3 linked regions of the Cricetulus griseus genome follow. The protein of the gene in region 1 purifies or fractionates together with the protein of each later gene. This does not show direct contact. Links are inferred from orthologs where the notes say so. Each region holds a gene or a part of one and is shown in the gene's direction. Other genes may lie near its edges.

Region 1 (5,063 bases):
GGTGGGTGTTTCAGGCACAGTGTCGGGGAAAGCTCCAAGCCTTGCAATGAGAGTCACAGTGGGGCAGAGTGCTGAGAACTGAAGGTACAGCTTAGGAGGAAGGTCAGTGTCTCAGTGGGCTTAGGATCAAGTCAGCAAGAAGTGGGCGGAGGGAGGGGTGTCCCTCCCTTCTCTTCTGTCCTCTCTGGCTCTTTACCTCTTTTCTCTTTCCCTCCCCTTTCTAATAAAACCTTTCACTTAAGTGGTGGTGGATTAGATTGCATTTAGTGGTCTTGCCATATTGGCAAGATCTGAATTTTGTTCACAAACTTGTAAGAAGAGCCTCATTCGTATTGTCAGAGCTTTCTCTTCCTCTCCACTCCACCCCTGCTTCCCTCTCTTCTCTACATAGCCCAGGTTGGCCTAGAACTTGTGGTATAAGCCAGTCTCTGAAGTTGGCATCCTCCTTTATTTAGTCTTGTGTGTGCTGGGTTATGGCATGTACCATTAAAACCTGTGTATAACGTGTCATAATTTGGTCCATTTTGATCGGGTTTGATCCATTTTGATAATTACTAAAACTCCCCTAAGTTGCTTTGCCTCTGCTCTGATAGCTTTTATCTGCTAAATCTCCTGAATCCTGCCCTGCACTTATTCCCTGGGCCTGGGTAGTTGTAAACAGTGCAAGTCTCTGCATGAAAGGACTTCTGTGATGATACGGTTGTGTTCCTTATGAATGGCCCCTTGGTGTGAGTACCTGTACACCCCTCGAGTTGTGTAGGGCAGCAGCCCTGGCCATTGGGCATAAGGTTCCATTTAACAGACTGCCTGCCCCATGCCCCAGGTAAAGGCCAGATAGATGAGCTACTTGGAGGCGCATGGTCTTGAAAGATGAATGTTTTTGTCATAATGGTATGGCACCTTCCCTTTTTTTTTTTTTTCATTCTTTTATTAGTTCAAATTAGGAACAAGCTTGTTTCACATGTCAAATCCTTCTTCCTCTCCCTCCCCTCCCCCCTAACATCCCACCTGGATATGGCACCTTCTTAAAAGCCAAGATCTTTAAATGTGGGACTTTAACTTCAGAAGAGCCATTGAAGATCAGATCTGCTCCACTTAAAAGGAAGGAGCCAGAGCCAGTATGGTGTGGCAGTCCCATGTTCCTAGCACCTGGAAGGCTGAGGCAGGAGGATCACAGGCTGCAGGTATCCTGGGCTGTAATAGTGAGACCCTGTCCCAAAACTCAAAAACAAAAGGGGGGGGGAACGACCCTCCCCCCCAAAAAAACGGAAAAATGTGGCAGCCTAAAGAAAGAAGGTAGCTTGATAGTATAAGGCTACACAGCCCTGCTGTTTATACCATGCACAGTGTTCTTCCTGTTTCTGTCACCCCAGCACACAGCAGGTCAATGTTTGCTGTGTTAGACGTTGTGAAAATGCTCATGTTGTTACATACAGGCGTTTGCTTCATAATCTAACTGCTGGTTTCTGGTGGATAGGCTGTACCAGTGCAGGTCCTCATTTTAATCCTCACTCCAAGAAACATGGCGGACCCTCGGATCAAGAGAGGTGAGCGGCATGCCCCATATGCATGATGGTGGAGAGGCTGCCTGGAAGACAGGACTGAGTGGTCTCCCTGCCTCTGCGCTTGTATTTGTTGTCACTCCCCAAGTGCTGGAACGGTTTATTTGGGGTAAAGGAGTTGACAAATGGGGACTCTTAATGTGATTTAGTTTTATAGCATTTATTGAAGATGAATACAAGAGCCAAAAGGAACCAATACAGAAAATGTCAAGGGTAACAGTACTGTCAGTCACTAGCAAAGTAAATCATTGTGTAACAGGATACTAGTGCAGATAATGAAAGCTAGTTGAGACTCCATTTATATGTGAAACACCTCAGGAAAGTCCTAAGTTTAAAGGACTGCCTTGTTTTTATACTGGAGGCCTGGGAGCAAAACTTTGCTAGGTATGCTAACTCACGAGCTGAGTTCCTCCTTTGCTACAATCCCCAAAATGAGAAATATATCCCAGACCGTGACTCTTCTCAGATCGTACTTTTAAACTTGAAGTGTGTGTTCAGGGTGTCCTAGCTACCTGTTTTAAAATTGTGTTTCCAGACCTTTGTGAGTCTGGAAAAGTCGTCCTATTTGGTATGTATTGTGTACTTCCTAGCCCACTTAGACGTGTTTGACTTGGTGAGATGTTAATTTAGCTCTTGAATGCTGCTGATGTGAATGTAGACATGAGTGCTTATCCTCTGATGCTGTTGTAACATTAGGCATGTTGGAGACCTGGGCAATGTGACTGCCGGGAAGGATGGTGTGGCCAATGTGTCCATTGAAGATCATGTGATCTCACTCTCGGGAGAGCATTCTATCATCGGCCGAACAATGGTGGTACGTTTTCATAAAAGAACATATAGGATTTCTTCTAACATGGTTATATACCTTTCCAAGACTTCATGGTCAAACTACTTTCTAAAGAATCACATAAATTGTTAAAGTTTAGAATAGGAAAAAGTTTTTATTGGATATGATAGTGAAGAGTTAATTTGCCTAGGTCAGTTAAGAACACTGTTCTGCTAAGATGCAGTGGAAAGCAGGTTACATTTGATCAGACTGGGTCTAAGTTGAACAAACAGTAGTCTTGAGTTTAAAACAGCCAGATTTTCTTGCCATGATTGCTCCCCTTACAGTTAAACATTTCGTTGAGTGTAAAATCTGCGATGGATGTCAGTATTCAGGTCTGTAGGTTATCATCGCTTGGTTACCATATGGGAGCCGTCTTCCCAAGTTACCCTCGGGAGCTGAGTCTGGTTCATGCAGAACAAGTAGTAAAGGCTCCTGCCCAGCTTGGGCAGCTACCTTTTCAGTAGGCACTTCCTTTCAGTTGACCCTTTATCCTTAGAATTTTCTTCAGCCCTATTGGTGAAGCAGAACAGTCATTTATAAATGTTCTAAAAGTAAAATTTAAAGTCTTGTTGCTAAATAAAGATATTTAGAATTGCCTCTTATTTGTAGGTCTATAGTTCACTGATGTGGGATTTTTGATAGCAAAAAATTTGGGGGTGTGTAATGTGTGAAGCTAAGATCAGCATGTGGTCTGGTACAGTCATTTGGGTTGTTAGTATTTCATTTAGAAGTAGCAACATTTACCTAGCTTTTAAAGCTAACGTGTCTTTGTCACTAAAAGGAGAACTTAGTTGTCTGCCCCTAACTGGTAGCATAAATACCATCTTATTTGCTAATAGATTTGAACATTTTATAATTTAAGTGGTCCTTTTAAGTCTTTTGTGGTATTGCTAGGAAGAGGTGCTAATTACTTGGTTGCCCAAAGCTAAATGTTCTTAATTCTTTTCAAAGGTCCATGAGAAGCAAGATGACTTGGGCAAAGGCGGAAATGATGAAAGTACAAAGACTGGAAATGCTGGAAGCCGCTTGGCTTGTGGTGTGATCGGGATTGCCCAGTAAACATTCCCTGTGTGACTGAGTCTCAAACTCATCTGCTGTCCTGCTAAACTGTAGAAAAAAACCCCATTAAACTGTAATATTAAAAGTGTAACTGTGTGACTCCTCTTTGATTTAAGGACTTGTAATGAGAACTGATTGATGATGCTAGAAAGATGTGTATAATTTTATAGCTAACTGAACTAAAACCGGTTTCCATGCGTATTCTGCCAAACTTAATTACCCATGGATATTAAACTAAAGTTAATTCTCACTCAAGCTTATGAGTAAACATCATATGTGAGACTTACTTAGAGCCTATTAATGTATACAAACAAAATTTCAAAGTTAGCGCTATACATTAAACATCAACAAGAGACTCAGGTGTTGTTAACTTTAGTGCTCTGTTTTGAAAGTGTTTTATGTGACACCATCAAAATGTATGGCTAGTTTTGATTGTGGAAGCCCAAACCAAATTTGATCTTAGAAGGTTTGCTGCCCTTTGTTAGTAGCTTCAGAAATATTACCGAAAGCTCTCCATTTAGAGTCAGAGTACCAACTATTTTGAAATAAAAATACTATATTTAGATGTCATAATTTAAAATGCCCCTTAGCCTCAGCTAGCCAAAGTTAATTTACTACCTACACTACTTTCCAAGTGACCCTGGAAAAACAGCAGCACTGGGAGAGGACCAAGTTTGACTCAAAGTTCTGGCTAAATCCTGACTTTATAGCACAAGTGAATGAAATTGAGTATCTCTTAATATGTACCTAAGAAAGACTCCCTTCTAAAGGAAATAACATAGTGATAACTTGCTTGTACAAATAAAGCCTGTCCGAAGACCAGAGAATGGAGCTTGCCACTAGCTAGCCATAGAAGTCCGGAGGTCTGTGCAGGTGACTCTAGAATAGATCATTCAACTGAAATGTTTGACAAGTCAGGTATGAGCCCTACCTGGTCCTGTTCAATCGTAACCACATAATTTTCCAAATACAAGTCACTAGGAGACTGTTAAATAGGAAAAGGGAAAATTTTGGGGTTCCCAAGTTTTAAAACTGCTCATAAGGAATGTGTTCGGAAGTTTGAAGTTTGAGGTAAATGACATGTCATGGGTTTCCTTAAAGTGGTTTTTGATGTGTGGGGTGACTCAAATGAGACTAAGCATCTGGTGTAATCAAACCAGTTGTATTGTTTAGTGGTTTATTTCTCAGCACTTCCGGTTGGAAATGCAAGTCTGTCCTTGAAATCTGGGCACTGGATAACCAGGTGTGTTTTTATCTCTTCGGAAGTATTCTAGAGCAAGAATATCAGTAGGGTCAACATAAAACCAAAACCGGGACAGCTGCAGACATAAGTCTCCCCATCATCACAAAGACCTTGCACTAAAAAATTCAAATGAGAGCATACAAGAGGAGCTTCTCAGAACTCTAAAGCTAAGCCAATTTAGGAATTTTTTGTTTACTTAGTATCTTGTGGTTTTAAAATCACACTTATTTTTAGGGTATGTGTATGAGAAGGAAAAGAGTTAGTGTTCTTCCAACTCTTGGGTCCCAGGAATCAAACCAAGGCCATCAATGTTGGCAGAAAGTTTCTTTACTGGTTTAGTCATCTTAGTTGTCCTTTATTGTAGGAAAAA
Region 2 (5,555 bases), on another chromosome or scaffold:
AGTCCATTGGTTTGCAAGATGAGCAATCCCGTTGCCGGCAGGGCCTCAACTGTACCAAGTTCGATGGGTCCATGAACACGGGGACTGGGTCTGTACCCAGCACCTCACGGCTGCGTTCCTGTTTGCCCAGATCGCAGAAACAATGCCACTTTCCCCACGGGCCTAAGATTGAATCTTCCGCTCCTGGAGATGGAAGTGAACATGAAAACCCAGTTGGGGTAATTAACTCCATTACGGGGGACTTGTCCAGGGAAGGACAATGATAAGGAACCTAGTATCAGCTGGTATTTGAAGACTTTGCTGCCTCTGTGTGGGGGTGATCCAGAAAAACAAACCACTCTGTCAGGTTGACATACATGAGCTGCCCACAGCTGCAAATTAACACCTCTAATCTGTGCTGGCCTGCTCAGTTGTGAGTATGGACACTCTGTCCTTCATACCCGACATCCAAAGTTGACTCTTGCCCACTGCCACCTGACTGGCAGGACTAACACACCGCAAGATAAACAATATAATTGACACAATGAATTTACTTAAAGCCACTGGTGCTCCACTAACTTGTAGCAACAAAGTAATTTTTATGCTCAGGAACAGCTACAACTTTTTTTTTTTCCCAGTGTAGTGCTAAAGGTAAGATTTAGCCCAAGGCCTCACACACTCTGGTCAAGTGCTGTACCACCCCTGACCTACATCCTAACAGAATTCCTTTCCTTTCCTTTCCTTTCCTTTCCTTTCCTTTCCTTTCCTTTCCTTTCCTTTCTTTCCTTTTTTTGCTTTTTTTTTTTTTTTTTTTTTTTAATCAGAGTCTCGTGTACTCTAAGCTGGCCTCTAATTCCTTTGGTAGCCGCAGATGACTCTGAACTTCAGTTCCCCTGACTCCAGCTCCCAAATACTATGATTGCAGTGTGCACTGCTTAGTCAGTGTTGGGGAAGGAGCAGGACTTTGTTGCACGCTGGGCCAGTGCTCCAACTGCTCTAGCTACTAGTGCAGCAAAACCCTTATCAGAACTCACCGAGGGTGGTGCCTCTTACCCTTCCTCATCAGATCTTTGCCAAATGACATCCTCCCCTTAGGCCTTTGTTTATTCCCTCTTCCTGGGACACTGTTACTCACTCAGTCTTTGTAATTTTGACTCTGCTAGTCATTCCGGCTGTATTGGTTACTACCATCTTCACCACACCTTGCGGACATCTCAAGCTGACTGGACAGTTTCTTTCCCTGTCTCCACCCTGCCTAGCACTATGTTTATAGTCTGCTTATTGTCTCCTGAATAGTGCTAAATGTGTATATTACAATTATCAGATGACCAAGGAAGCTGCAGAGCAAAATTTTCAGTAAAGTGAAAGAAAACAAAACAAAAACAACTCACAGATGAGAAACCAACACACTCAGAGAAAAGTGGCCAGTCCCAGAGGACACGGCCTGTGCTGAGCTGGGCAGAGTCGAGACAGGAGGGTCTATTTGTAATCAGCTGACTAAGTGAGGCCTTTGGGGGCACCTTTTCAAATCGTCACTCCCGCCACCTGCTAGTTTTTACCCTTTTTTTGCTGCAGCCTCAGCAGCTCCAAGGTGTCAACTTTGCCCTGCTGGCCAAAATACTGGTAGTCTGGGTCTACCTGAGTAGGGGACACCAGACCCAGGAGCACTAGAGGTGGCAGCAGCAGAGCCAGCAGGCTCCGGTCCATGCCCGGACTCCAACCGACCCCAACGCGCCCCGGGGCCCCAGGCCCGCGTGGATCCCACAGCACAGACAATCCCGGCGTCCGCAAAGGCACACCCCACCCATCCCTTGTGCAAGCGCGTGGGCCGGTCCGCGCGCTCCCCCTCTGCAGGCGCAGTGGATCCTACCGTCGGAGCTGTCCCGCCCACCTCCCCCTGTCCTGCCTAGTGTGGTTTGGGCCGCGCATAAAAAGCTCGCGGGCCTAGGGCTTGTTTGGCTCTGAGATCTCTGTGCTTTGTGTCCTGTCGTTCGCGTGTCCGGCTCTTGCCCACGCAGGTATGGAAACCCAGAATGCACACGAATGGGAGCAGCCCCACGGGTGCGGTTCTGTCCCTATAGAGCCCTCCTTGCTTACGGTCTTTGTTTTCCATGCTCAACGGCGGCCGCCTTTGTCCTTGCGGTAGGTGGGGGTGGGGGCGGGGGAATGGGGGGAACCAAGGTCGGAGCCCTGGGTTGCAGGCCGTATCGCCGAGCTCACAGCTCCTCGCTCTTGGCCTCGCCATCCCGTTCTGGTTCGCGTCCTTTCCCCCGCGCTTGGGCCGACTGGATAACCCGGGTGGCGGCGGTGACCCCATCCATCACTCGTGCGCCGTTTAGGGGGCCGGGTCTCCTGAGGCCTTGCAGAACTTGTTCTGGGAGGGTGAATGAATTTGAGTGCTGGTGCTCCCACCTCTCAGATTCGGTGTCTAGCTTCAGCCCCAAGAGTGACCTTGGGAAAGTCAGACAAAGGGTCCTTTGCGGCACTGACCAGCCTTGCGTGGGTCTCTGCTTTCAGTCATGGCCTCCGGCAACGCGCACATCGGAAAGCCGGCCCCGGACTTCACGGCCACCGCAGTGGTGGACGGCGCCTTCAAGGAAGTCAAGCTTTCAGACTACAGAGGTGAGGCTGCCCGGAGGGGGACCAAGTTGGGACAGGCTCCATATATGAGAGGGGCTGGAACTAACTTTTCTTCGTTCTCCTCTTCCCTAGGGAAGTATGTGGTCCTCTTTTTCTACCCACTGGACTTCACTTTTGTGTGCCCCACGGAGATCATTGCTTTTAGCAACCACGCTGAAGACTTCCGAAAACTGGGCTGCGAGGTCCTCGGAGTGTCTGTGGACTCTCAGTTCACCCACCTGGCGTGGTATGGGGCTGTGCGCGGGGCGGGCGAGGGCGGGGGCAAACTATGGGGATAAACTGTGTCTTCTCTTCCGGCCCTTCATCTTTTATGTGTGTGTGGGGGGGTTGCGAGACAGGGTTTCTCTGTGGCTTTGGAGGCTGTCCTGGAACTAGCTCTTGTAGACCAGGCTGGTCTGGAACTCACAGAGATCCTCCTGACTCTGCCTCCTGAGTGCTAGGACTAAAGGCCTGCGCCACCACCGCCCAGCTGGTCCTTCATCTTATAAAGAATGGAAACAATGACACCCAAGTCCTTACAATAATGACAGTAATTAGCATTTGGCACCTAGTTGGAAGGTACAGATGCTTCGTGGCTTAGTTCTCAGGAGACAGGCTGGCCTTGCCCTATCTCATGAAACGGGAAACTCTAGTTCTCAAGAGTGATGGGTTGATGTAAAGACCAGAGCTAGATGATGTTGGAAATCCCCCCCTTTTTTTTTCAGAACTAGGGGTCAACTCAAGGTCTCATTGCTGCAAAGCAAGTACCCTACCCCTGAGCTCTACCTCTGCTGTTGGCTAAAGTGGTATCCCTATTGCTAGTTATTGGAGCCCATGGGCCCAAGTGAAGCTACTTTAAGATGATGATTTATCTGGGCCATTCCCTTTCCAGTTGTACTGCCTTTGCCAGGGTGGGGAGGGTGGGGCTACCCAGCCTTGTTTGAAATCCTTTATCTCTTGCTTCCAGTACCCCCACTCCAGCCCTTATCACACTGGAGGCGGGGGGGGGGGGGGGGGGAGGGGGGAATTCTGCTGTTCTGGGCATCCTAAGGCCCCAACCCTGTTTCTCTCATCTTCAGGATCAACACCCCACGGAAGGAGGGAGGCTTGGGCCCCCTGAACATCCCCCTGCTTGCTGATGTGACTAGAAGCTTGTCAGAGAATTATGGAGTGTTGAAAACTGATGAGGGCATTGCCTACAGGTATAGCAAGGGCCTCAGCCCAGCTCCAGGAGTCCCCATCTCAAGGCTAAAGGGACCACTGTGGCTAATGGGGTGTGTGTGTTGCCTTACCTGGCCTTGGCAGTGGGGGACTCCAAGCTCCTCACTATAGGCTCTCATGTCTTCAGGGGCCTCTTTATCATCGACGCCAAGGGTATCCTTCGTCAGATCACAGTCAATGACCTCCCAGTGGGACGATCTGTGGATGAGGCTCTTCGCCTGGTCCAGGCTTTTCAGTATACAGATGAGCATGGAGAAGGTGAGTGAATATTCACAGATGGGGATCCTCAGCTCTCTGCCCAGCTTACAGACATTAACTGTTTGCCCTAGCATCATTGTGGGATGGGTGGTAAAGCCCCATACAAGGGCTGAAGAGATGGTTTACAGCACTGGCTGCTTTTCCAGAGGATCAGGGTTAGATTTCCAGCACCCACATGGTGCCTCATAAGCATCTTTAATTACAGTCTCAGGACTCTCTTCTGGTCTCCTCTTGTATATATATATATCACAAAAAAAATTAGATTAAAAAAAAAAGCCGGAGCCCCAAAAAAACAAATTTTTAGTATGTATTCATGTTTGCCTGGAGCTAGCTATGTAGACCAATCTGGCCTTGAACTCAAAAGATCTGCCTGCTCCCCAGTTCTGGGATTAAAGGCACAAAATACCGTACCTGCTTTAAAAACTTATTTGTGCATGAGTGTGCTAGTGATCAAAGCCTCAAACATACTAGACGATGCTCTTTCACTGAGCTGTACCTCGAGGCCAGTCATAGCACCTCATCATATGGAAGGGTCACCTGACCACAGGTACAGAGTTTTAGTAAGGCTAAGACTGACAGAGTGAGTGAGTTAAAGGGGAGGGGCATGGAGACACAGGCCTGTAATCTCAGCACTTTGGAGCTGAAACAGGAGACCAGCTTGGGCTGAAGAGTGAGACATTATTTCAAGAAAAAAGGCTAAGTGTGGTGGTGCATGCCTATAGTCCAAACACTTCAGCTGTGGAGGAAGGAGGAGCAGTGCATGTTTGATCTATGGAGCCTGATCTATGGAGAAAGTTGTAGGCCAGCCAGAGAACCCTTAAAAAAGAAGACTGAACTATAGCTAGGTGTGGTTTACACAAGGCCCAGAGCTCAAACTCCAGTCCTTCAGCAGCTAAAATAAAACTAAAAAAAAAAAAAAGAATTTGCAGGAGTGTGGTGATGCCTGTCTGTGATCCCAGCAGTCGGGCTAAGATAGGGCTGCCATCGGGTCGGGGTCAAGGTGAAAACAAAAGTACAGAACAAACAAGACAATAGAACAGAAAAGTATCATCTAGAAAACTATTGGGGCAGGGGCTTCTGATTGAGTGAAATCTGGAACCCTGCCCCTTAGCTTCCAGCCCTTCATTGTGCAGGCAGCCTAGGGTCTTGCATGGCCTGTTTGTCCCTGACCTGGATGGCAGAGCTGAGCCTCATGTGTTCATCCTTGTGTGTTTTTCTAGTCTGTCCTGCTGGCTGGAAGCCCGGCAGTGACACCATCAAGCCCAATGTGGATGACAGCAAAGAATACTTCTCCAAACACAACTAAGATGATCAAACATCAGTGAGCCTGAATTCTTGTATCCCGCCCCTACCTGGATGTCCTGTGCTGGTCCAGAAAAGACTGGAGGGGCTGGGGGTGGGCCAAGGCTTTCTCATTGCCCACCTGGGATGTGGTGAATAGTGACCCTATGTCCTGAGCCCACCTGTCTGGGCACACA
Region 3 (5,604 bases), on another chromosome or scaffold:
AACTACCCTCTCTGACCTCTGTGTACACTTTAGTGCAAAATAAATTATTGTAATTATTGAAAATACAATCTGTTTGGGAATGGTGATGCACACCTTTAATCCCAGAACCCAGGAGGCAGAGGCAGTTGGATCTCTTGAGTTTGAGGCCAGCCTGGTCACAGAGTGAGTTCCAGGCCAGCCAGGGCTGTTACACAGAGAAACGCTGGGGGGGGGGGATGGCATGATGTAGTTGTATACATATTTAATCCCAGCATTGTGGAGGCAGAAATAGATAGATCTTTGAGTTTGTAGCCAGCCTGGTCTACATAGTATTCCAGGATAGCCAGAGCTGTTGGGATCCTGTTTCTAAGTAACAATCTGAAGACTCCAAATGGAAAATGACTCTTAAGGGATTTTGAAGTTCCTTTCAGACTGCTAGCTGGACTATAGATTTGGGGATCTCAGCATTAAATGAAAGTTGGGATCCTTCCCCAGAAACACCTCAGAGATCTCAGGTGGGCACCTGAGAGATGAACATGATACAGCTTGGATGCCCACTTTGTTCATCCTTCCTTCTCTGTCCCTTCCCCCATTTTCCAGATGGGTGATCTACAATGACCAGAAAGTGTGTGCCTCTGAAAAGCCACCCAAGGACCTGGGCTACATCTACTTCTACCAGAGAGTGGTCAGCTAAGAGCCTGACCTCAACCCTTACCACTTCGGGCAGGGGACAGACCATCTGGCATGAGGGATGGGGTTGAGGGATGGACTTAAGCCCCCTGCTCTGTACCCTTTTTCCTTTTGTCCCCAGCAGCCGGAAAGAGCTGGAGGCGGTAGGAGAATGGCCAAGCAAAGAGAAGGGGTACTCAGTAGACTTTGGGGATAGAGCAGGGATGGGACAGGAAGGGGCCGACTGCCTGTCCACACTGGGACCTTGTTGCTTCCTTTCCCTGCCCCTGGAATCCACAGTGCTCTGCTTCTCTGTGATGACCCAGCCCCTCGAGTTGGGAGGGGTCTTAACTGTGTGTGCGTGGGTGTGGCTTTATGCATCCTTCCAGGGGAGGGAGCGACTGTGCCTCCCCTCCCCTCCCCTCCCCTTCCCTTATGTGTTTGCTCCCTCGTGGTTGGGCAGAGAAGGATAGGAGGGAAATAGGGACACCTTCCCCCTTTGTTCTTCTGCCTCAGCCTCCCATTCTGTGTCTTTGGTCCTCTGGAAAAATGCCAAAATACATGATGTGAATAAAAGTACAATGACTGGCTGGTTTTGTTTAGTTCTTCATGGCAAACTTACTTTCCCTGAGTAAAGTTACTGATGTGGGGGGCAGACAGGTTCAGAGAGGCCCAACTGGGGTCCTTTGCCCTGCCTCCACCCTCCCACCCTGGGGAATTTTGTCTTTAGTTCTAAAAGTGCCCAGAAAACTGTGAGGTGGGGAAGTGGCTGCTTCCCCCCTCTACTGACCATGTACTTGGTCCAGCCCCAGTGTTACAGGATAAATAGAGGGTCTAGAGCAGGCAGTGGGCAGTCAGATGGTATTAGCTGACAGGCTTTACAAGACAACAGCCAGTCTGCCACCTCCCTTCCTGCACGCCAGTGTATCCCACTCTTTGCTCCATTTGGCCAAGACCTGACAAGAGAGGGACCCAGTAATCACCCGAAACGTTTGTGAAACACTTGGGCCCTTCCCTAGTGATTGCTGGAAGGGCTCCTCGACCATGGCTTTTTGCCTTGTGCTGTGGGGAAAGGGGGCCTCTCCTTTGGAGAGGTGCTCAGTCCCAGTGAGACTGGTTTAGGGCCATATTGCTGCCAGCCCTTTGGTTTCCCTGAGCGCGAGGCTCAACATCTCAACTGTCGAGCAACAGGCGGGACGTTTGAGCCCCCGGAACCCCCTAGAACGTTGCTACAAGAAGGGAGAAACGTCAGAATATCGAAACACCGGGAGGTGGATAGGTTGAGGGGGAAGGCTTAGCAGCAAGGGGCCGGGCTAACCATGGCGGAGGGCGGGAATGAGGAGGAGTTCTGCTTCACGGCACTCTATATAAGTGGCCAGTGGCCAGGGACGTGCGTTCACACTGAGGTTCAGCAAGTCTGTCAGAGCGCGGAGGTTCAGCAAGTCTGTCAGACCGCAATGGCGCCTTCCAGGAAGTTCTTCGTTGGGGGCAATTGGAAGATGAACGGGACGAAGAAGTGCCTGGGAGAGCTCATTTGCACGCTGAACGCGGCCAAGGTGCCGGCAGACACCGGTGAGCTCCATTTGGGAGCGGAGGCCGGGGGAGGGGTGGGTGGGTGGTGGATCGGGCGTGGCAGCACCTACTCCCTCCCTATCCCGTGGACCCGGACGCCGGCCTGGGTTCGCCGGCCGTTTGGTGTCCGGGCGGCATAGAGACGTACTGGGGTGGAAAGGCATTTAAATGATGCCCCGGGCCTGTGGGGCAGGAAAGGGCTTCGTGGGTGGGGGCTGGGCGGAAGGTCACCTCCAGGAATGGACTGGGGCTGCACCACCTAGGAGGGAGCCACGGTTAAGAAGCGGAACCAGTGTCCGAGTGGATAATCGGCACGTGCCTCAGAGTATGGGGGAGGAAGCTGAGCTTGCGCGGTCTCATGGTCTCACGGCTACCTGCCCCCTCGGTCTCCAGATCCGTGCGTCTCTGCACGTAGCCCGAAACTCCTCCCCGCGCCGCCGCTAGCTTCGGCCTCTGAGCTGGGGGCTCCTACATCCCTACCCCTCCACAGCCTGGGCCACCCCTGCCTTTCGCCTTAGGGACTGAGCAGGCGCCAAACATGCCGAGCCGTTTGGGAATGAAGAGCTATCCTACAGCTCTCCTCCGCCTGGAAATAGGAAAACACGAGGTCTCTGCGAGCTAGACAACTCCCCCTGCTGCTCACTCACACTGTTCTCCATCCTTCCCCCTCCTACCCACCTAAATCAGAGAACCTTGAGAGTAACCAAAGGGTATTGTCTGCTGATTTATTTCCTAAGGAGCCCAATACAGACTCCAGTACCTGGCCTATTCTCCTGAAGCGAAAAATCCTTGCTGGGTTGGAGAAGTGTGGATGGGCTATTTTAGAAAAGGTTGGCCCCCGGAGAGTGCTGAGTCTAGGAGGTTCCCATTCCCGGAATAGCCTGAGGAAATTAGAGCCACAGCTGTTACAAGAGCAGAGGACAGGGTAAGGGCCTTGGCCTATCATGAGCATTCAGAAGGCTATGGAATTGGTACAGGCCCAGCCGGGGCTGTGCAGTGAACAAAGGTCATCCTTCTGAAGTGAAAAATCGAGGAAAACAGAACCAAGAAAGTGAAGGCGTGAGAGCAAGCCTGGAGAGTAACGGCTTTCTTTGATCTCATTCTCAGAGGTGGTTTGTGCGCCCCCCGCCGCCTACATCGATTTTGTCAGGCAGAAGCTAGATCCCAAGATTGCTGTGGCTGCACAGAACTGCTACAAAGTGAACAGTGGGGCCTTCACTGGGGAGATCAGGTGAGATGGAGGCAGAGAGGGATGTAGAGGGAACCTTCCTTGTGGACCCTTGCTGAACCTTGGTGTTTATGTTTTAGCCCTGGCATGATCAAAGACTTAGGAGCCGAATGGGTAGTGCTAGGGCACTCGGAGAGAAGGCACATCTTTGGGGAGTCCGATGAGGTCAGTAAGCAGAGGAGGAGTTGGGAGATGCTTTCATCCGAGGCGGGTGGCTCACTGTATTTGTTCTTTGCCAGTTGATTGGACAGAAAGTGGCCCATGCCCTATCCGAGGGCCTTGGAGTGATCGCCTGCATTGGGGAGAAGCTAGATGAAAGGGAGGCCGGCACCACCGACAAGGTTGTTTTCGAGCAAACCAAGGCCATCGCAGGTATCTCAGGAGAAAGGGACCTTTGAGCCTAGCAAGGGCCACAGAGATGGGGTGGGGAGGTCAAAAACCCTGCAGCCTACCTGATATGTTGAGCCAGGAAAAGAGAGGGCAACTTGCATAGTCTTTGTCACTTCTGTTTCTGCAGAAGGTGGAAACCCTACCTTCAAAAGCCTCTAGGGGCTGGTGAAATGGCTCTGTGGGTAAGGGTGCTTATTGCCAAGCCTGAGAGCCTATTTGATCCTCCAAACCCACATGGTAGGAGAGAACCAACTCCTGCAAGTTGTCCTCTGTCCTCCGTATGTTTGCCTTAGCGCTCGCGTGAGCACACACACACAAATTGTTTAAAAAAAAAAAATGGGTGGAGAAAAAAAGCCCACCAGGAATTGCAAGCCATTTCTGTTACACCCTAGAGAGCTTAGCTGGGCAGCTCCTTCCTCTTCACAGTTTTCTCCCTGATCTTCACCCTGCAGATAATGTGAAGGACTGGAACAAAGTTGTCCTGGCCTATGAACCTGTATGGGCCATTGGTACTGGCAAGACTGCAACACCTCAACAGGTAACTAATTGCCGAGAAGCCCCATCCCCCCGTCCCCCCCGTCCCCAACTCAACAAAAAAAGTGACTTGCCAAGGATGTTTTCCCTGTCTGGGATTGGAGCCTTGCTATTCTGATCCCAAGACTTTTCCAGAAACTAAACCCTCCATACAAGCACCAATGGGTTGCTTGTTCTCTTTGAATGAACAGGAAAGGTCTTACTTAGTGTACCTCTTCTTTCTAGGCCCAGGAAGTACACGAGAAGCTTCGGGGATGGCTGAAATCCAATGTCTCTGATGCAGTGGCTCAAAGCACCCGAATCATTTATGGAGGTGAGGGGGTTTGGCTCCAGCCAAGGTGGAAGTGGGCTAAGATAGACTGAGGCCCCACAGAGAGGTGGGGCCTCCGTGGACTAATCCTATCCCTGACCAAACCATCTTCCTGTTAATGTTACAGGTTCTGTGACTGGAGCAACCTGCAAAGAGCTGGCAAGCCAGCCTGATGTGGACGGCTTCCTTGTGGGTGGTGCTTCCCTCAAGCCTGAGTTTGTGGACATCATCAATGCCAAATGTTAAACACCAGCATCTTCCCTACCCTCCGCTAGGCCAGGATTAGGTTGCCCAGGAGCTTAGGAACTGCTCCCACAAGTCACATGCTTCTGATGTCATCGCCCCATCTTGTTTGCTAATCCACACTGTACCTTCCTACACCTTTGACACCTCCCTATAAAGGTTGGGACCAGGCCAATCCCTTTACCACTTACAATGAATGAAATAATGTCACCTATTTCACCAAAGTGGCTTCCTGGCTGGCGGAGCGGAAGAAGCGCAACTGACTGTCCCTTCAGGTCCTCACCAGGGCAGGAGAGTAAAACCACCTTCCTTTTCCTTCTCAGTGTACACTTAGGCCAACGTCCTCTTGCTCTGAGAGGCCAGGGGTGTCCCATCTCCCACAATGCCGAAGCCCTAGTACTGTGTTTGTGAACCATCTTACATGTAAAGGAAATAAACACCTGGCCCCAAGCTTTGTAGTTTGTCATCTTCATTGCATGTTTTCACGGGGAAAGTGGCATAACAAAAACAAAACAGGCTGTGACAATACATCTCAGTTTTTACTTGAAAAACATCTTTTGCACCAGGCTGCCACAGCCTTTAATTTCACTTCCACGTCTCGCCCCTCTATAAGGGTTAGTGAAGGGGTCCAGCCTCTTCTCCCCTCAGCTTCACTGGTTTTGTCTAGGCCAATCGATGG

What was found.
Region 2: the proteins of Sod1 (region 1) and Prdx2 fractionate together in Homo sapiens (co-fractionation; 3 studies listed by BioGRID, with this or other methods). This does not show direct contact. The link is inferred for Cricetulus griseus from reciprocal best matches to the Homo sapiens genes SOD1 and PRDX2.
Region 3: the proteins of Sod1 (region 1) and Tpi1 purify together in Homo sapiens (affinity purification with mass spectrometry; 3 studies listed by BioGRID, with this or other methods). This does not show direct contact. The link is inferred for Cricetulus griseus from reciprocal best matches to the Homo sapiens genes SOD1 and TPI1.

Annotation. Positions count from the first base shown.
Region 1 is NC_048597.1:7,461,346-7,466,408, reverse strand, and holds the end of Sod1 (superoxide dismutase [Cu-Zn]), read left to right. Parts: intron 1-1,477; coding exon 1,478-1,547; intron 1,548-2,258; coding exon 2,259-2,376; intron 2,377-2,477; exon of another isoform or gene 2,478-2,848; coding exon of another isoform or gene 2,849-2,901; intron 2,902-3,342; coding exon 3,343-3,450; 3' UTR 3,451-3,541; downstream 3,542-5,063. UniProt on the Homo sapiens protein: Destroys radicals which are normally produced within the cells and which are toxic to biological systems.
Region 2 is NC_048596.1:159,392,528-159,398,082, reverse strand, and holds Prdx2 (peroxiredoxin-2), read left to right. Parts: upstream 1-1,980; 5' UTR 1,981-1,997; intron 1,998-2,496; 5' UTR 2,497-2,498; coding exon 2,499-2,601; intron 2,602-2,691; coding exon 2,692-2,845; intron 2,846-3,677; coding exon 3,678-3,800; intron 3,801-3,946; coding exon 3,947-4,077; intron 4,078-5,297; coding exon 5,298-5,383; 3' UTR 5,384-5,447; downstream 5,448-5,555.
Region 3 is NC_048601.1:21,601,524-21,607,127, forward strand, and holds Tpi1 (triosephosphate isomerase), read left to right. Parts: upstream 1-2,029; 5' UTR 2,030-2,105; coding exon 2,106-2,220; intron 2,221-3,327; coding exon 3,328-3,451; intron 3,452-3,528; coding exon 3,529-3,613; intron 3,614-3,687; coding exon 3,688-3,820; intron 3,821-4,290; coding exon 4,291-4,376; intron 4,377-4,597; coding exon 4,598-4,685; intron 4,686-4,809; coding exon 4,810-4,928; 3' UTR 4,929-5,375; downstream 5,376-5,604. Other genes in the region: Usp5 (ubiquitin carboxyl-terminal hydrolase 5), read left to right, coding at 580-673. UniProt on the Homo sapiens protein: Triosephosphate isomerase is an extremely efficient metabolic enzyme that catalyzes the interconversion between dihydroxyacetone phosphate (DHAP) and D-glyceraldehyde-3-phosphate (G3P) in glycolysis and gluconeogenesis.